2 linked regions of the Xenopus tropicalis genome follow. The protein of the gene in region 1 purifies or fractionates together with the protein of each later gene. This does not show direct contact. Links are inferred from orthologs where the notes say so. Each region holds a gene or a part of one and is shown on either strand. Other genes may lie near its edges.

What was found. Proteins that work in one complex are often made in the same cells at the same time.
Region 2: the proteins of bnip1 (region 1) and rint1 purify together in Homo sapiens (co-immunoprecipitation; 3 studies listed by BioGRID and IntAct, counting the BioPlex papers as one, with this or other methods). This does not show direct contact. The link is inferred for Xenopus tropicalis from reciprocal best matches to the Homo sapiens genes BNIP1 and RINT1.

What each region holds. Positions count from the first base shown.
Region 1 is NC_030679.2:43,441,178-43,452,213, reverse strand, and holds the start of bnip1 (vesicle transport protein SEC20), read left to right. Parts: upstream 1-5,083; 5' UTR 5,084-5,113; coding exon 5,114-5,197; intron 5,198-5,276; exon of another isoform or gene 5,277-5,513; coding exon of another isoform or gene 5,514-5,543; intron 5,544-6,460; coding exon 6,461-6,553; intron 6,554-7,958; coding exon 7,959-8,050; intron 8,051-8,798; coding exon 8,799-8,900; intron 8,901-9,353; coding exon 9,354-9,472; intron 9,473-10,864; coding exon 10,865-11,036. UniProt on the Homo sapiens protein: As part of a SNARE complex may be involved in endoplasmic reticulum membranes fusion and be required for the maintenance of endoplasmic reticulum organization. Also plays a role in apoptosis.
Region 2 is NC_030679.2:77,079,832-77,090,287, reverse strand, and holds part of rint1 (RAD50-interacting protein 1), read left to right. Parts: intron 1-133; coding exon 134-290; intron 291-3,051; coding exon 3,052-3,162; intron 3,163-4,156; coding exon 4,157-4,382; intron 4,383-7,041; coding exon 7,042-7,179; intron 7,180-7,528; coding exon 7,529-7,728; intron 7,729-8,000; coding exon 8,001-8,215; intron 8,216-8,748; coding exon 8,749-8,929; intron 8,930-9,004; coding exon 9,005-9,123; intron 9,124-10,203; coding exon 10,204-10,426; 3' UTR 10,427-10,456. UniProt on the Homo sapiens protein: Involved in regulation of membrane traffic between the Golgi and the endoplasmic reticulum (ER); the function is proposed to depend on its association in the NRZ complex which is believed to play a role in SNARE assembly at the ER.

The DNA of each region.
Region 1 (11,036 bases):
TACTGTAGCTAGTTGAGCAGGTTACCCTTTAATGACATGGAGCTGGTTTATACAATTGCAGTACAGAAGGAGATATCATTTGGACCGTGCATGCTTTGGCTTATTGCTGCTATGGGTTATCTTGGCAACCAGTATGAACAGGCAATCCGTTTTATGTCAGTAACCAATAATAACTTTGCACTTAGTCTTTCAGCAAAAGGCACTTTAGACTATAAGAAATACATAGTCAACCTAGTTATTGCTTCATATTTCACTGTGTTTGTATTCCTGATCCCCAAACAAAAACTGCTGCTTTAAAATCATCATTAGAATCTCTTTTTTTTTAATTCAAGGGGAAGCAGTGTAATGTTAACTGACTTAACCATTTATTTGATTCTGTCATTCCTTAATTATATTAGCTGTGTTACCAACAAATTACTTTGGTTATGAACCATAAAATCACTGAGGTGCGTCACTCTGCGACTCCATTTTTGTTCAGCCTACCTGTTTGCATATGGTCAGAACTGTATCAGTTCAATAAGATCATTTTCTCCAGGAATGACTTTCTATACTGAAGGGATTTGGCTCCTCTCCTGCGCCAGAGAACAGTGCTCCATCAGTGTATCTGAGTTGGGTGACCAGGGTATCAGTTCTTTTGACTTCCAGAACTTAAGAACTCATCATACGCTGCCAGGGGTTAATGACTGTATTTGCTAGGTCCTGTATAATAGAACACAGTGTGTTTAAAATGTGCATGCACAGTCTACAAATCTTTTAACCTCAGTTTGATGATATTCTGCCTATATAATAATAAAATGAGGATGCATTTCTGTTTGTGCTGGGACAGAATCCGGAGAGAGTGTAATGCAACAGCTGTGAGAATACTGTAAATTACATTGTCATTTCCACATTGCTTCTTCAGTCTGTTTCCGTTCTGCTGTTTGCCATTATTTAATAAAGTTGTTTGTCTCTTCACAAAGACTGTGTATAAGCATTTTTTTTCAATTCAATTTTTATTTGTTTTTATCAAGAACGTTGTAGAGGGGGTACAGAAAGAAGAAGGGGAAATAGAGGGCAAATATAGTTCCATAACAGAAAAAATGAGAGCATATATACATAAACCTAGCATTTTTTATTTACCTTGTGCCAGTGTGGTGTATGAAAATAGATACGGCTACCATCACTAACTCACATGGCCCTCTGGGACATTAGAATGTCATTTGGGGCTTCCTCTATGTTTTATTTCTTTGGAATCTCCACAGATCTGAAACTGATTGATTGTTGGACACATCCCCAAGCTGTGTAGCCCCATTCCACCTGTTCTGCTCCCTCCTGTGATGACTCCTGAAAGGAGGCAGGACTCTGCTACTAGGACTTGCTACTGCAGCTTAAAGGGGGTGAGGGGCAAAACCAAAGCATGTGAAAGAGCTGAATCTGTGCAAAGTTTGCTTTTGGTTTAGTAATCTTTTGCAACTAATCAACAGGTAGCCTTCACAAACATCTTAGTGGTTGCTATTGATTACTAGAGCTGGACAAATCTAGCACCTCTTCATCAAAAAACCCCAAAACTAGGGTAGGACTTTGGCCCATTCTCCTTTTTTTCCTCCAATGTAAGGCTAGCAGATCTTATGAAAAAGGGGTGCTTCTATAATGTCTGACTAGACTTAATGTATTTAATGTTAATAAAATCGGTGAAGCCCAGCAACAGCACTGCTGCTTCTAGAAAGTCTGACTAGACTTCATGCATTTAATATTAATGAAATTAGTGCATCCCAGCAACAGCACTGCTGCTAAGCCCTTATAAGAATAGAATACAACGGTCTTTGACTACTCACAGCAATCAAACACACTCTGAGGAAATGCTATACTCGTTTTCCTTGATAAAAGTGTCAGGTTGTTAAGCACTGACAGGAATTTAAGAGCAGTGACTCCCCATGGATGACCTAATTTGATATTTAATAAATCAGCACCGATACCTTTATACATGTGGGACTATTCACAAAGTCTTCTTTCCAGTCTGACTGTTAGGCTCTTCTGGGGTTTGATCTCTGGACCTCCTGATTGTTGGCTAATCTCCCTAACTTAGTCTTTGCCTGCTCCGTCCCATCCTATACGACTGTCAGTACTTTAACAGCAATATATATGAATAAACCTTGTCTGCGCTTAAGGATAAGTAGAAGGAGAACCGTATAAGTGAAAGTGAAGAGGGAAAAAAAAAAAATATTTAAACGTGGTAAAGAGTGATCTCTATATTATCAATTAAATCAATGTGAACTAGGTGTGTTGATTAGCTGCCCTCCTCCAAACTAATCCCAAAGTGCACAAATATTACTCTAAAAGAGTTGGCGCTCAAACAAACCACCAAGTGAAATAAAATCAACCAATCGATATTTATTGCACAGTGAATCAATAAATTAAAAATTACAATTTATCAATATATACACAGAACAATCAATATACATAAAATAGGAAACAATTCTAATACATAGAATAATAAAGCACCAATCATAGGTTCAATTAAAAACAATAGATGAAATAGTAAAATTGCTAGAATGAATCCAATCAAAATTCTTAATTCATTAGAGGATGAAATCAGCACAAAATTCTTAATTCATTAGAGGATAAATCATATAAATTGGAGAAACCTGGGGAGGAAAACCTATATTAAAAAGCATGTAGGGAACAATCAATTAGATATACAGCAAAGTTAAGTAGGAATAAATGTTACATGATATCCAAACATCCAAATAAATAATGATAACACCGGAGGGGTCTAACCCCTAACGGGCCCCTCACTTAGTGGAGAGGGCAGCACTACTTATAGTACTCCCTTCAGACCGATACACACACCCCACTTAGCAAAGAGTATAAGCATACGTATCAGTATAAAGTATCCCAGGAAAGTGCAAGTGCTACACAAGACACTTCTACAGATTAGGTATATAGCCTTGTGGAGAGTTAGTCCCACACGAACTTAATGCACAGAAATAAAGAAGCCCCTTGTCCCGGCCGGGAACTTACTCGGGTATAGACAAAGGGAGGAACAGGCTCCTTGAAGCGGCTGGACGCCGTTCTCCTTCCTCCGGTGACGTCACCGGTACGAGCCGAATCCCAAAGTACGGGTCCTCCCTAGTGTCAAAAAGGTCCGACGCGTTGGACACGCCCCTGCCTTAAAGACTCTACCTCTACGTATTCCTTTACAGAATTATTTGCTAACACTGACCCTGGATGGGTAGCTTTCTTTCACCTGCTGCAGCACCACCTTCGCAGTGCTCCTAGGTAAGTGATGCCCTGGATTGGCACAGGTACAATAAACAGTCCAACAGAGACAAAACAGCACAGGCATTTGCCCCCTCCCACACTTAATAGACTCTGGAATGTGATGCCAAGCCAAGGGCAGCAAGTCACTAAAAAGTCATAATCATAAAATGCACTATGTTTGCCCAGGATCAGTAACTCATAGCAACCAATCAGCAGGTAGATGCACTGGTCAGCTGTTTAAAAGCAAACATCTTATTGGTTGCTATAGGTTACTGCTACAGGAAAAAAGTTGTGCCTTTTAATACATATGTGGGTATGAACACTGTTATAGGAATAGTTCAGTGTAAAAATTAAACTGGGAAAAATAGACTGTGCAAAATATAAAATATTTCCAATATAATTAGGCAAAAATGTAATCTATAAAGGCTGGAGTAAGCATATGTCTAACATAATAGCCAGAACCTGACTTCCTGCTTTCAGCTGTCTAACCTCTTAGTTAGTCAGTGACTTTAGGGGGGCCCACATAGGACATAACTGTTCAGTTAGTTTGTGAGCAGGCAGGTCAGATTCAAATGCAAATTAACTGAACAGTTATGTCCTATATGGCCCACTCAGGTCACTGATTGGTTATTGATTGCTAACAGCTTAGAGCTGTTCTGGCTATTATGTTAGACATCTGCCCACTCCATTTTCATTTTTACACTGAACTGTTCCTTTAAGATAGTCACAAGGAAAATTATAGACTAACCAGGCAATTATTTTAAACAAAGGAGCACCGGGGGAAGAGGAAAAGGTAAAGTACTGCATGGCAGGGCAGAAGCGATAAGAGGTGGGTTGGGAACCATACAAAATAACCCCAACATTATTTAATTTACTTGTGCCAAGAATAACTTTCTTCAGTTTTAGAATAATACAGCAGTGAATCATCAAGCAGCATTTACTTTTCTGGTCTTTAAAATTAATTATCTGATTGGTTACTAGGGGTATTTTTGTAATGAAAAAATGCAGAAAGTTGGCCAGTCATGTTTGTGCCCAGATGTGCAGCTTTCAGCCCCAGAAACATCCCTCTCAAAAGGGAGTAAAATAGATGATAGGTTCGGGACAGGTAATATTCTGAGCCCCAGATGTTGCAGAAAAACAACCACCAAAATTCTGTCCTCCCTTATCTGAACCACTGGTGGGAGCTGAGGGTTGTAACTATAGATCACTGAAGTACCATGGGCTCATGCAAAGCCTCCTATAGTTCTCCTTTCCACAGCCACATACTGCTGCCCTTACTGTACTGTACCCTTTCCACTCATACCCCGAAATATCTATTATTTTTATTATTAACAAGCATTTATAAAGCTCCAACATATTCTGTGTTTATGTACAGCAAAAAAGGGTCTCTAATGTCATTCAGCAGGAAACCCCATAGTCCAGTCTAAGCCTGTTTACATTTGAAGTTGACTGTTCACTTGCTTTAAGGGTGAAGACACACAGAGCTACTTAGTAGCAGCTAATTGTCACAGCTACTAAACGCCAGAAAATACCCTGACATAGACAATACTGAGAATTACCTCTGCCACATAGAGACAATTAACAGTAAATGATCAGCATTGTCTATTTCTGTAGCCGTGACAAGTAGCTGCTACTAGTAGCTCAGTGTGTCTTCACCCTAACACCCCTTTGAACTGAGCAGAACGTTTCTTATTGTGTGCGTTTTCCCAAAAGCACCTCTAGATGTCTCTGTGCCCCCTCATCGCTGTCCATACGAGCAAAGAAATTACCTCTCCATACAGCAGATGGCGCAAAGGTTTATTTTTGTCTTAGTCAGAGTCATCGGTGCATGGTATTTTGTCCCATTCCGCGCACCGTTGTTAAGCCTGTCGCGATGGCAGATTCGCAGGATGTCCACGTCCGAATTTGTCACCAGGAAATCGTTAAATATGACCTGGAGATCAAAGCGCTGATCCAGGTAACGCAGTGGGGTGCTGAAGGGGTGATCGCCATTAATAATACTGACTTTCTACATGCAGGAGGCAGTAGGGAATTCAGCTTACCATTAAGGGTCCGAGTTTGTAATATTCCCTATGCAACGCCACCTAGCGGCAGGCCGAGCTTACGTACCAGTTCCGAAGACTCCAAACTCAATGGTTTATGTTTGAATGCGGACTGGTGTAGCGTTACCGGCATGTACTGATAGTTCCCTACGGTCACAGCCTACTGTATGGTTTGGTTAACAGAGCCTGGCAGTTTTATTTTCCTAAATTATTACATGGGCTTCCTGCTACATGTTCCATGTACTGCACCCTAACAGTTATGTAGGTATAATACATTTAACTGGCTGATAACTGAAATAGCTATAATGCTTTCCCAGCTAATGAGCAGTGCTGCTATCAGTACTCATAGGCTCTATACTACTGAGTTAGCAGGGGGCCTCAAGTTTAACCCTCAAGTTTAACCCTTCTGTCATCTGGGCCATTATGAACCAGAATTAACACTGACATTAGTTGTTACCAGTGGCATAAAATAAGGTCAGGCTTCCAAGCAAAAGACTTTTCCGGGCCCTCACATGTTGGGGTGAGAGCCACTTACACCCTCGGCCACATAGTGACCACCACCTTCGCCTCCATGCTTGCAGAGCCAGAAGTAGCTGTAACCATACAGCAGGCCATCTGGATATCTGTATGCTAGTTAGCCAGTGAATGTTAGTATATCTTAACCAAAATGTCAAAATATCAGCACCCAGTAATCAAGTCTTTGTCACCAGTAATATCTTTGTATAGAATAACTTCCTAAAGCTGATACCTCAAGAGAACTGAATCCAAGTGATTTTGGTCACACTTATGGCACACCAAGCCTGGGATTCAAAATAGGCCCTGGCACTTCAAGTACACAATGTCCCAAACAGTGTCTGTCTATGGCTTCTTACAGCAGCCCCTCTGGCATTTGCCAGAATCCACAGATTGCCAATCTGGGCTTTTTGCACACCCAACCACAATTTATTATGCCTTGACTACACCCACTTACAACCCAACTTTATCCTTGGCTGGAGGCTGGTGGTTACTACCAGCATATTAACTGTCATTTTTTAATGACGTTTGCTAGGCATCTCATGTGCCACTATGTCATTTCAGTTTGGGAACAGCACAGCAGATGGTACTTTCTCATTGGATCCTTATCCCCCTAGCTCTTCTGTATTGTATGTAGACGTTTTAAAATGATTTGTCTTTTATAGGACATCAGAGAATGCCCTGGTCCTCTAAGCACCCTAAATGATTTCAATGCTCAAGTCAAGGAAAAATTCCACCTGCTGAGGCTGAGAATACAGGTACATTGTGTAATTTAGTAAAGACATTGCATTTTTGAGGGAAAAACTGGCTAGGTAATTAGAAATTCTTAACCACAAGAGAGGTTGATAATAAGTAATTGGGGCCTCTGCCCTATGATTAAACTATATTTTAAAACATTAAAAGTCCATTTACTGCCTATAACAGGGATCCCCAACCTTTTTTACCCGTGAGACACACTCAAATGTAAAAAGAATTGGCAACACAAGCATGAAAAATGTTCCTGGGGTGCCAAATAATGGCTATAATAGGCTATTTGGTAGCCCCTATGTGGACTGGCAGCCTACAGAGGCTTTGTTTGGCATTATATTGGGTTTTTATGCAACCCAAACTTGCTACCAAGCCAGGAATTTAAAAATAAGCCCTTGCTTTGAGGCCACTGGGAGCAACATCCAATTGTTTGGGGAGCAACATGTTGCTCATGAACCACTGTTTGGGAATCACTGGCCCATAATATTGGGAGCCCTCAAAGCAAAGCATATTATTCGCTCAGAGTTTTTTTCTAAGCACTTTTGCAAAGTACATTTTTTCTACTTTCTCAGTTATTAGAAGTTATTTGAAGTGCTGATTATTTTAGGCCAATGGGCTAAAAGTGGCTAAAAATGAATTTCCTGAGAAAAGAAACATTTTAAGGTGTTGCTCTCCCTAGAACTGATCACAGAAACACCAGAGACTCCACTTTCTAAGCAGAGCATCATTACAAAATGTTTCTTATCTCAGGCAATTCATTTTTAGCCAACAGTAGCCAGTCACAGTAGCCAGCCAGCTGAAATATCCAGCAGGTGGCGCTGTTGTTTCAAATATGTTATATTAGCCCAGTGATCCCCAACCAGTGGCTCGGGGGCAACATGTTGCTCCCCAACCCCTTGGATGTTGCTCTCAGTGCCCCCAAACCAGGTAGTTATTTTTGAATTCCTGACTTGGGGGCAAGTTTTGGTTGAATAAAAACAAGATTTCCTACCAAATAAAGCCCCTGTAAGCTGATAGACTGCATAGAGGCTCCCTAATAGCCAATCACAGCCCTTATTTGGCACCTCCGTTAACTTTTATGGTGCTTGTGTTGCTCTCCAAGTCTTTTTACATTCGACTGTGGCTCATGAGTAAGATAGGTTGGGGATCCCTGTATTAGCCATTTCAAAACAGCTAATCTCTTTAAAACTAAAATAAAAATAATTAAAAGTAGTTCTAAGAGTACTTTGCACAATTTTATAGTCATTTGTCTTGATGGATTACAGTACTTGTTTACTTGCTTGGATTTACAAAAAAAAAAAAACATTTTTGCATGAATCATTGCTCATCACCAAAAGTGATCACCTTTAAAGTCATCCAGGTAATAGTTTTCTAAACCTATAATTGGTGATATACTTCTTTGTTATTTTGGAAAAGGATTTTGAACAGTTGGCTAAGGAGCAGGATAAGGAATCTGACAAGCAAGCATTGCTGAAGGAGATGGAGTGCCACAAGAAACAGATGTTAAGGTGTGTATGGTCTGCTGCTTACATCTTGAGCTGTGCGAAAAATGGCCCCATAGCTTAATAAATAAATGTTATATAAAACAGGTGAAGAACTTTTCTTGCTTGCCTCTCAATATGTTTACAACACAAGGTTAATCAATATTGCTCTGTAGTTGTCCTACAAAGCTGTCCTGCAGTTGCTCATACATGTTTTGGCTGAGACATACTCTCTCTCTGCTTTCCCATTAGCCCACATGTTGCTGGGTGAATTCTAAGCTCCCCAAGGGAATTGTTGGTCAGTGACCAGTACTACACACAGTTCTACTTTAGTGAAAGGTGGCTTTGTGGTATTTTGCTGTGCTAATTAAGGCTGGGAATCTTTGTCAGAGACCCAACATCATGGGGAACAACCCCATGCCTACCTTCAGCACCTTGACCATGTTGTGCTGACTCTGAACTTTGCACCCCTTTCTCGGTAACTAGTATGAATGACTAGTGGCCCTATTTTAATGCTTCTTACAAATAGGGAGGTGGTGCTGGAATTTGTTACAGGTGAAAATAATTCAACCTATCTTTTAAAAATAATCTTTTAGATCATTATAATAATACAACCAGTGTATAATTTCAATCATCTACCATATCTGCCTTATATGAGGTTGCTCTTGTAAACTCTGCCAAATCTTATGCCTTTCATATTTGATTGTGTGTGCATTTTAATTTTTCTTAAGCAAAATTAACAACTGCTTTTCATCCATTGTGATGTTGATTTCAGCAACCAGACTGTGTGGCGAAAGGCAAACCTTTCATGCAAGCAAGCAATAGATAATGCAGAGAAGGATGAACTGCTCGATGGAGGAGACCCTACAAGGCAGAGGTACAGTGTTTTTGTTAAGAGGGTCATTCTGCAAGTCTATAGAAACTGCTTCTAGGGTGTTGATTTTGAAGACAGTTTAGACTGCTACAGACCACATAGCCATTTCACCCTTTCTTTCATTAACCCTTGTTAATCCCTTCCCTGGTCACTGTTGCTTGTATGGGATTTTCCAGAAAACCTCAAAAGCTCTGGAATAGAGAAATGCCAATTACTATAGTGTTTATGAAGTTTCTGAAAGTCTTAAACGCAAAAACAAAACAACAAGAATTTATTTTTAGAAAATACTTTAACTCAGTATCTATCAATTTCAAACTGAATCTTATTATGAATTCTCAAAATCAGGAAATTTCGACGCATTTGTTTACCGGTCACTCTTTGCGCATTCAGTTAGTATAACTTGTACTGCATCTAAATGTGATACAAGTTGTAGCCAACTCAATCTGTTCCCAACAGAAAAGTAGCAAAGGAAAACCTGGCACAGTCAACGAGCAACATCACCGAGAGCCTGATGGGTATCAGTCGAATGATGGCACAGCAAGTGGGGCAGAGTGAAGTAACCATGCAGACACTAGGTATGGAGGATCTGTATGCACGTTTCAGTGCCCATAAATGCACTTTTACCCCAGACTTGAAAATTGTCTTATTAGTAAGGATGGAGTGCTGCTCCTAAAGTTCCTCACCCTTTCCTCAATTGTGGCTAACACCAAACTCTGACAAACACACACAGTTCATTGTGCTCCCAATACACAAATGAAGGAATGCAGTTCAAGATATTGAGAGAGGTACTGATGGTATATTGTTATAATTCTTTCATTTTTTTCTATTGGTGGTCCAGTGTTTATTTCAGTTGTTGCAACTCTCACCCCTTATCCAGTTTCTTGTATTGGAGAACCAATCAGGGAAAGACAATCTGACACTGGTGGGACTAAGATCTGTGTGACATAATGGCTGAAACAGAAAACACTGCATCAATGGAAAAAAAATGTTGTTTTCACTCTGATTTAATTGAATAATTATAGTCATTTATAAGCATAATTGACATAGAAGTGATTCAGCTAGAAAAGGAGATTTATTGAGGTTAAAACTGAGTAATAAGGTAAATTGCAAAACTAAAAGCATTCCCTTTGTATGGGCAAAGTTTCATTCCAGGAAACGTGACCCACAAACAGTTACATCCAATCACCATGCAATCCATCTGCAGCCATACCTCCTCTGTTAAACTATCACAACACACAGATCCCTGGCCCTAACCCCTAATACACTCTCACCTCCAAACTCTAAGCTCCAGATCTAATACCAGCAGCAGTCTGAAGGGAGGACAACCCCCACTATTGCATCAGTGAACATGGTAATTACATTTTTTTTATAAAGAAGATTGTTGTCCTTTTTAACATAATTAAATAGAACAGAGTTAGAGTAAGTCATAATAGTTAGAAATTAATAAATAATGTAAGTAAAAATGCAAGTTTAATTATGTTATCATTTCTTTACATAAATAGTACTGTAAATGAAGAGGTCTGTATGGAGAAGCTGACAGGATGAGAGAGAAGGAAATATTAGCTTCTTTGCAAATACATAAGATAGTTACAGAGCACTTAATTATACTGGCTCATGGAAGTTTGTACAATTCTTATTTCTAAGGAAGAACTGCAGCAATTGTAATACCTGAAACCAGTCCAATACTTCCCATTATACTTAATGGGATTTCATCTGCAAATGTTATATAGAGAAAGCAGCATTATCTATTGATAATGACTAGTGTTCCACAGGCAGCAGGATTCCTAGTCTGGAGAATGACAAAATTAAGGTTCTACCTGAGGGGATTGTAGTGAGCAAAACACCTTGCGTGCCATTACCCTAAAGCACAAAGATGGGGTTATAAATTCCTGGGAGACAGTAGGAACAGGTATAGAAACAGACAGGTTTTGCAAGATTGTCACATGCTCTGTATATTTTCCCAATAGCCACGTCATCACGGACCATCCAGGAAGCCAATGAAGAGTTCAAATCCATGTCAGGGACTATACAACTTGGGCGTAAACTTATCACTAAGTACAACCGGCGTGAGCTCACTGACAAGCTGCTCATTTTTCTGGCCTTGGCCTTATTCTTAGCAACTGTACTGTACATCTTGAA
Region 2 (10,456 bases), about 34 Mb from region 1:
GTAATGGGCCCTATTTGAAAGATCTAAAACAATACTCCAAAGACTGAAAACTTGTGTGTATCTTTAGTATATATTTTCCCTGTGATAATTTGTTACCAGCAATCACTGTTAAATTCTTAATACTGATACCTAGCGATGAATTAATTACAAAACCTAAAGAGATGCCAGAGAAATACTCCCTTCCTGCACTACCTCCTATAATGCTTCCCATACAGATCATGCTTTCCCCTCTGCAGAAGAGGTTCCGCTATCATTTTACAGGCAACAAACAAACCAATGTCTTAAGCAAGGTAAGAATTTGTTTTTTTAGTTCTGCAAACACACTGTAATTAATCCTGTGGTTTTGGCACTGATTAGTGCATAATTTGTATTAAGTTTATTAAATCAAATTCTAGATTAAGCAGGTTATGTACACAAGAACCTTTTTTATTTAGCTAACAAAAGTGATATGTTTATTGCCTAGAGCAGTGCTGTCCAACTTCTGTTGTACCGAGGGCCGGAATTTTTCCGACCTACGTGGTGGAGGGCCGATAATGGATGCCAGTTTTGACCACTCCCCTTTTTGAAACCGCACCCACTTGAAACCACACCCATGTTATCACATGACCATACCCATATTAATGGTTGTAGTACAGCAAAAACCTGCCATACTCTGCCTGCCCTACCCTGCCTGTGTGCCATACTCTGCCTGCCCTACCCTGCCTGTGTGCCATACTCTGCCTACCCTACCCTGCCTTTGTGTGTGCCATACCCTGCCTTCCCTACCCTGCCTGTGTGTGCCATACTCTGCCTGCCCTACCCTGCCTGTGTGCCATACTCTGCTTGCCCTACCCTGCCTGTGTGCCATACTCTGCCTACCCTACCCTGCCTGTGTGTGCCTACTGCTCCTGAGGTGTGAACAGGGGAACAATGGGGGTAATTACAGCCTGAGCCTGAGGTGTGAACACTGCAGGGGGTGAACAATGCAGAGATTAAAAGGTGTGAACAACACAGGGGATTACATATTTAAACAATACAGCCTGATTACAGCCTGAATCTGAGGTGAGAACCATGCAGGGGGGGGGGGGGGCAGTTAATCACAGTACTGATACCATTTAAAGTTTACACAAGAGTAAGCCATCAAAGCAGCCAGACAGGTGGGGGGCCACACAGAGGGGGGTCGCGGACCGCCAGTTGGACAGCACTGGCCTAGAGTAATGCTTTATCCAAAGGAATTTAGATGCATAAAAGTGCTGTTACACTCAGTTCACCCTGCAGCCTTACAATTTCTGCTGGATATTTTGAGAACTGTAGTTCAGCAACTATTACATGACCTGTGTTGTGCATCACTGGTAAAAGAAATGTTTAAGAAATGTACTTATTACTTCCATATACAGCTCTGAGATGCATAGAAACAGGCAAATAAGTCCAGTAAGCTTGTGTAGAAACTAGCATATCTTTATATTACTTCATATGATAAAACTTTGTAGAAATGTAATAGGTAAATTATGTTAAAGTGCTTAAATAATGGTATCAGAAAAGATTTACGAATCCAAGATTTTTTAAATTAGCCGCTATAGTAGTCGAAGGTTTAATCTGTAAAGGGCAACTAAAGGGGGCTTCATAATATATGAAAAATCCGGAGAAATTGTGTTGAAACAAAAAATTGATTGAGGATGATTAGTAGAATTAAAAATTCTGTGGAATAAATTGAGATGGACAACTTGGTATTATGTTTTTAGGCTTAGGGAAACCTCTCTTTTCCTGTACACTTCAATGGACTTTACCATATCTGTTAAATTATAAAAAATAAATACGCTGGTTTATAAATATGCTCTGAGATGTCTTGAATGTACTTTTGTTATAGGGCTATCCTTTAATCATGCAGGTGCTGCAGTCCCATGACAGCAAAAGGACTGCTCCTCTGGTACCCTGGTTATATATCATGCTCTTCCTAGTACAGCTTTTATTTTTAGGCAGCCAAAAGGGGATAAGAGTTGAACACATGAGGAATACAGAAGTGCTTAATTTGCCAAATTTGGCCTTAAAGGACCAGTAACATCGAAAAGAAAATGTTTTAAAGGACATGGCTAAGAGGTCTAGCACTGGCTGGTGTAATGCTCTTCCACCAAAGGGCTCCTTTACCCACTGCTACTTTCAGATGGTGACAGACTTATAGGTTCATGTAATAAAAATCACATTTGGTGATCCACAGCAACCATTTGCTTTTTAGTAGATGACCAGTAAATGCAACCTTATTATTGGTTGCTTGGGGTTACTGTACCTGGTGCAAATGTTTCAATTTGTATTACATTAGCTCTAGTCCTTCTTTTGGAAGCATAATGAATCTGGCTGTACTGCCTACTAAATCACTGATTCCTTTTTCTGTAATCGGAATTGAACGTGCGCAAATGGGAAATCAATTTATATATGATGTTGTTTCTTGCTTATAGGTCTCTGGTGTGCATAGTTTTAAAGGGGATAACTAGCTATTAACTTGTTGCCAGGCCCAACAGCCACAGCTGCCTTTGACTGAGCTTAATTTGGTATTCTTTAAATTTAACTGCTGCCAGCAGTCTTTAGTCTGTCCTTAGCAAAGAACCTTTCCAGTTTGGATCCATTTGGGGTGATGTAAGATATATTTTATTTGCTGATAATTCAGTTTTGATGTTGACTGAAGGACTTCTGTCTGGTGTCTTTTGTTTGTGAATACACAATATATTTATAGACATGATGTAGGTTTGGACAGATAAGATGCACTAAAATGATGCTTCTGTAAATATTATCTCTTGATCTTGCTTGGCCCCCCTGTAATAAAAGCTGCTCCACGCAGTTTTGGGAAATTACTTACTTTTGTATTTACAAAGTGGTTACCATTAGGGGTCTTGCAGTTCAGTGACAGCAGGTGTGATGCAAGTGGGACATCTCTACTTCTCATTCCTCAGTGTAGAATTGAAGAACATTCAGTGTCAACCTTGCCTATGCATGTGACCTTTCACAGCTGCCTGTGTTATTGCTTTATAAAAATAACATTATTATAACGTAGCATGTTGTGTTTTTTTTGTATTTTAGCCTGAGTGGTACCTGACTCAAGTGCTCATGTGGATTGGAAACCATACTAAGTTTTTACAGGAAAGAATTCAGCCCATTCTGACAAAATCTGGGTCTTCTGTGAACGCACATGTAAGAGGTTACAGAGATATAGCCACTGTACATTGATCTATTTAGGCATTAAGGGAATTAAATTAATCACATACACCACAAAGTTGAACATAGGGACTAATGAATACATATCACTAAGCTTCAGTACAAAACTATATTAAATCAAACAGGGTAGTAACACGTCCATATTTAATACATCTTACAAGTACAGGTGTAGGACCCATTATCCAGAATGCTCGGGACCAAGGGTATTCCGGATAAGGGGTCTTTCCGTAATTTGGATCTTAATACCTTAAGTCCACTAAAAAATCAATAAAACATTAATTAAACCTAATAGGATTGTTTTGCATCCAATAAGGATTATTTATATCTTAGTTGGGATCAATTACAAGGTACTGTTTTATTTCTACATAGAAAAAGGAAATCAGTTTTAAAATTCTGAATTATTTGATTAAAATGGAGTCTATGGGAGACAGCCTTTCCGTAATTCGGAGCTTTCTGGATAACGGGTTTCCGGATAAGGGGTCCGATACCTGTACTTATAAGTCAATGAAGTACAATTTTTTTAATTTAATTCTGCTTTATACTGATTATACATAGCATATTGCATGTAGTTCATAACTTGGTTGGGTGGCTTTGGGTTACAGAATATTGAGTAGACCCATGTAGAGGAAAGTTAGCATTCAAATGGAAAGAGGGAATCTTGCAAAAATATGAGCATTTTATAATCTTTAAATGACATACCAGTGTAGTAGTATTGCACTAATTAATTGATAATAATAAGCCTTTGTGAATATTTCGTCCCTGGATCCCATATGATTTGATGGATGACTTCTCTTGTGATTACTAATATTTCACAATACACACAGATACAAAGCAGATAGTTGAAGTAAAGATCTATATACTACTTAAACACTGCATATGAGTAGTTCAGTTTAAAAGGAGAGAGATTACATTGTTCCTGTAATCCATATAGTCAATTTAACAGCAGTTTGTGTATCTGATTATTCCCCAGCTGGAGTTCACGCGTGGTTTAGTCATGCTGGTGCTGGAGAAGCTTGCAGTGGACATCCCGTTACTGCTATATGATGACATTCTGTTTTGTCACCTTGTGGATGAAGTACTTTTGTTTCAGAGAGAACTTTACACATCACATGGTTATCCCAGCAATCTCCCAAACTGCATGCACATTCTATCTGAAGAAACCTGTTTTCAAAGATGGCTGACAGTGGAGAGAAAATGTAAGAATGCTTTGCATTAGTTGTGACTATTTCTAATTGATTTTTTTGCGCCTGAACCTGTCATTTTGCGTTCTTAAAGGAGAATGAAAGGCTAATAAAGAGTTAATCTCAAGCTGCAGGCATACCTTCAGTTGTCTCAATAGTGCCCTTATGTCTCCCCATATTTCTCCTGTTCAGATGATCAGAAGCCTCATAGGAAAAAAAAAATGCTGAGCTCTGTAAAGAAAGTACCCATAATGCCTTGGTCCTGAACTAATACCAAGATCGGTGTACATACGCAGTTTGTAAGACTATGAGGAAGCTGATTGGCTCAGATCCACATTCCTAAGGAGGGGGCGAGTGAGTTCTTAGTATTCTTGAGGGAGGGGGGAGCAGGAGAGAGGAGAGCTGCGTGTCTCTGGCACAGGAAAACAAAGACAACAAAACCTGTTTCTTTTGAGAAAGGACTGCAGTGTTTCTGTGAGTGCTTATGGCTGTATTTACATAGACCTTTCTGATAAAACTTACTTAGTTTTTACCTTTCCTTCTCCTTTAACGCTAAGACTTTTAATTAACTGTTAATAGTGACCATCTTATAAGCACAATTAAATTCTGATTAATATATCCATTAGTTAAATGTGAACTTTTATTCTTTCTGTGTACCCCTCCTCCCTATCCCATATTGAAAAATGTATGATACAAAAAAAACCCCCTGCAAATGTTAATGCGCATATATTTTATTTCATTAATGTTAAATGTTGGCACAAGGGTGTCCAAACTTTTGTATGTGCCTTACATACTATTCTCTTTGTTCCTATGCTTTATTAACACCCCCTTTGGCTCAGATAACAGCTGGTTAATGGCTTTTGCATCTATCTTTAAATATTTCACATTTAGTTGTATGGATTTTTACCACTTTCCATTCAGATAATTTGTCATTTTTAACTGTTTAAGATCTAACCACAGATTTTTAATGATGTTTGAGTCAGGGTACTGTGAGAGCAATCCCAAATCCTTCAGCTTGCTTTTCTCATTATTGTGGCTTGTCAGGTATGTTTAGGATCATTGTCTTGGTGTAGGATCCAGCCCCATTTTAGCTTCAGCCAAAGAGTTGAATTTGGACTTCATCAGTCCCTGCACTTTTTGCCAAAAGCACTCTGGTTTGTCTAGATGCTGTTTTACATGCCTCAGACATTGATGTCTGTGATTAGGTTGCTTGTAAGGCTTCCTCCTGTTGACTGTGTAACATGACTGCTGTGTCAGCCAATTCTTCCTGCTAGTCTTTTGTACCCATATGAGGGTTTGTTTTTCTGAAAGTTTTCACATATTGCATTGACTTCCAATGCTTTGCAAGCTGGAGCATTTTTATATATCCCTCTCCTGCTTTGTAGGCATCAATTGGCTTTATTTTCAGATCGTCGCGTAGTTGCTAAAGGAGCCTGTAATTGCCGAGTGACAGCCCAAAGTTTGGGGTCTCAGAGATTTTATTAAGTCCACAGGTAACAACTCCTATGGTTATTAAGGCCTAATGAACCAATTAGGGTGAAAGATGTTGCAAAAACAGCATTTATCACTGAACAATTAAAAAGATGTCCAAACTGTTGCACATGCCACAATTACCGTATCTACTCGAGTATAAGCCGATCCGAATATAAGCCGAGGTACCTAATTTTACCTAAGAAAACTGTAAAAACGTATTGACTCGAGTATAAGCCTAGGGTGGGAAATGCAGCAGCTACTGTGGCTATGAGTTCCTGGATTGTTATACATGGAATTGCCCTGGCATTCGGCACGCACGTGCAAATTAACTCTGCCATTATCTGCATATCAGCAAATAATAATATTAATGACATTGGCTACTGATTCCCTGTGATGGAGCTGTTTGCCTCAAGGCAAGGTAATTTGATTGTGTACAATTTGTACCAGTTATGATGGCTAAGGCTAGGAGGTGTTTTCTCCACTGGTGTGTGATCTGCTGCCCTCTGCCCTGAGTTTTAGTATGCCCTGAATTTCACCCCCTGTGTGCATTGACAGTCAGCTACCATGCTTGTTAGTGTGTACTTGGATATACAAAAAAAAGTTCCCAGACAAGAAAATATGGCTCTACTTAGACCAATGCAGCCTCAGACAAACAGAGCCATGGCTTGATATTGCAGAACAAAAAATTAGTTAAGTTATATTTCTTTCAACTAGATTTGTGATCACAAACGCATAAAATAAAGACCATGATGCTCACCTTACAAATACAATGTAAGTACGCTTATGGCAGGTTTCCATTTCATTATATACAGTCAGCTTGATACATGCTCATTCTTAAATGCACTGTAATAGATCAATCTGGCGTTCAGTGGGTGAGCTGTGCAGCTGTGCCAGCAAATCACTAATGAATACGGGAAAGAGGCACCTCTTGTGAAACTATTCGGCGTGCGAGCCGAATGCCAGCACAGCCTATATACTCGAGTATAAGCCAAGCATGAGTTTTTAAGCACATTTTTCGGCTTATACTCGAGTATATACGGTATTTTCTTTTGGTGAAATTAAATGTAACTCCTGCAGTTGTTTCCTACTTTTGACTTGTAAAATGAATTAAATGTTATTTAGCAAGGGCGACAAAACGTTTGCATTGAGTATCATCTTTTCAAAAGTTTAAAATGTGTTTGTTGCATCAATGTTTTTCTAGTGGCTCTAGAAAAGATGGATTCCATGCTGTCTGCTGAGGCTGCCTGGACCTCACAATATAAAGATATATCTGATGTGGATGAAATGAAGGTTCCAGATTCTGCTGAAACATTTATGACTCTCCTACTTGTTATCACAGGTAACTCAAAGGCTGTCCCAAACAGTGCTACCTCAGTCTACTTCTTTTCATGCTAGGAGAGCCCACTATAACAGATATTAATTTATCACCCAGTGACCAAATGCTACTTTGTTCATTTAACTATAAGGCTTATAGCACATGAGCCAAAAAAACTCAAATAAGCTCTCTTGCAACCTGTTCATGTGAATGGAATCTAATTCTAATAACATAGATGTGGCATATGAAATAAATGAGATCCTTGAGCATTGCTACTATGTATTCAGACTTTTAACATGCAACTACCCATAGTTCCTCTGGTGGCCCCACTTATTATAATGTTGATGGTTGTATGAGCTTGTGTTTTTTTTAGACAGGTACAGAAATTTGCCCACAGCATCCAGAAAGCTAAAATTCCTGGAGCTGCAAAAGGACTTAGTTGATGACTTCAGGATACGTTTAACACAAGTGATGAAGGAAGAGAGCAGAGATCCCCTGGGCTTCAGATATTGTGCAATACTCAATGCTGTCAACTACATTGCAACAGTTCTTGGAGATTGGGCTGACAATGTTGTAAGTAAGACCCATACTATTAATTGCCGCCACTGGGGCATACTCAGTCTTTTATTCCTCCTATCCACACATCTTGGAGAGATGAGATGGAGGGGTAACAGTTATATGTAGTCTGCTTTAGGCATTAAAACACCAAGACAATGTAGCTAGACTTGTGTGACCATTGCTTGTCTGCATTATTGTTCCTTTGTCACTTATCAGAATGCAGTGCTAACTTCCATAGCTCAAAATTTAGTTGTGCCCTTGCCCTAACTTTCCTTCTGTGTTTCCAGTTTTTTTTACAGCTTCAACAGGCTGCTCTGGAGATTTGCACAGATCTCAATGCCAGCAGTAAGCTACAGCTTGGGCAGCTGGCTTCCATGGAAATATCTGTCTTCGATGACCTGATCAACCTTCTGGAGCGTCTAAAAAATGACATGCTATCTCGTCAGGTAGAACATGTATTTAAAGAGGTCAAGGAGGCTGCAAGAATGTACAAAAAAGAAAGGTAAACGTAAAACCTTCAGATTCTAATCTGCACTTTCTAATATTCTACCACTAATATGGCAGAGCAAAAATTTTAATTCTTACTGGCAAAACTAAAAAAAAATATGCATTTTTAAGACTCAGTTCATAAACCATAAGAAATCAAATCACCTGGAAAATTTCTGTTCCCCCCAATTCATTTTTTTTTTTGTTAAAAATTTTCAAATACCTTTGTCCTTTAGTAAATACAAGTGTTTGTGCATTGACCATTGCAGTGTTACAAGAAGTTATTACAAAGCAGTACCCAAAAAATTATTCAGGCACTGTGATACCCCTGCTTTGTAGGTATTACAATCTACAGTATGTCTGGTAACATAAGCATGTTAAGTGACCTGCAAAAGCCATGTCAACAAAAAATCAATTAGCTATAGATATTACCATATCTATCTGTATTCTTTTTTATCAATAGCATGTAAATACATTTTTAAATCTGATAAGGAAAATGATTGCTGCAGGTTGTTGCTAAACTGACCAAAATGTTATTGGTTGTTGCAGGTGGCTGTCACTGCCTTCACAATCAGAACAAGCTGTCATGTCCCTGTCTAGCACAGCCTGCCCAATGCTTCTGGCACTGAGAGACCGCCTCTTGCAAATGGAGCAGCAGCTATGTCATGCTTTGTTTAAAACTGTCTGGCAGATGCTTGCTGAGAAGTTGGATCTGTTCATTTATCAGGATGTTAGTACTCATTTCAGCTGAAACATATTTGTACTGTATAGGCACAACTCATTTATTGAGCTTTATTTTTCTTAGATAATCCTGGCAAATCATTTCAACGAAGGGGGAGCAGCACAGCTACAGTTTGATATGTCACGGAATCTCTTCCCTTTATTCTCTCACTATTGTAAAAGACCAGAGAATTATTTTAAACAGTAAGTGATTACGCTCTATAGAATGTCCTTTCCTGTTGCCTGGCCCAGTTACAGCATGCTGAGGGATTTTGCAGGGCTGGTACTGTGGTGCCATGGACACTAACTAAGAACATTAATGTGGTTGGTTCCTAATGCTATTTCATGCAACACTGATCCTTAAAGCTTTAACTTCAACCCAAACATATATGTTTGCAGTACAGGATTGGGGGGAAAAAAGGTATTCACAGTTCCTGAATTTTATTTACCAGGAAGTAATTACAATTGGATATTTTAATAATATAGGCAGGAAACATCTTTAATTTGAATACTTACTGGGACTGATGGAGAATACAATCATGTACCTCCATATCAAACCAATAGAAAAAAAGCAGAAAGCAAATATTGTGTATTTCATCACAATTTGCCTTTATTCTCACAACTACTATTGAGACTGAGAATGAAAGGTGCTATGATGCTATATTCACGAGGAAGTGCGCTGTCACAAAACAATTAAGACCTCAAGCTGTGTTTTTTAGATGTGCAAATAAAGGTTGATCAATTTTAATATTAACTGTTGCGGCTTTTTATGCTTACCTGAAGTGCACTGCCAATGTGTGAAACTTTGTGACATGATGCTACTGGTTCCCCAAACAAGTCCAATACTTAAAAGGGTAAATATAAACCTGTGTTCAAAGTAAACCAGGGCTTATATTGGGAAATTGTGGTTAAGTTAATATGAGCATTTCTATTTTGGCGCATATTAAACATGAGGATATATTCTTTACAAATGTTACTGCCAAATAACTGCAGATCTAGCCTCCATGCAGAATTAAAGCGAAGACTCATGCATAAATATATTATATATATATATATAATTTTTTTTTTTTAACCATTTTTGTTAAGCTTTTCCAGAAAAAAGCCATGTTCATCCGCATAAGTTAATTGCTGTCCCTACATAATCGTATTTTCAATATTGTGTCTAAAGGCCCATAATTTGTTTCTTAAAAAAGAGAAATCTTCATAGCCAGGTGTTTCTGAATTCTGCTTTTTTGGTAGTGTGGAGAGATCTTCACATTCATATATATTCTGCATCCCCAACAGTGTGAAAGAAGCCTGCATCATCCTGAATTTGAATGTGGGACCAGCCCTGCTGCTAAAGGACGTTCTTCAGACTGCCAGTGAGAGTATGAATGCATGCAGTTCTAACGACAAACTCCCGTCTTCAACAGCTGCCTTGAATGAACTTGGGATCTATAAGCTAGCGCCACAAGATGTTGAAATTCTTTTCAATTTGCGAACAAACTGGCCAAATGCTGGAAAGTAACACTTCCTGAAGTTTCCTTTACATTGGTCA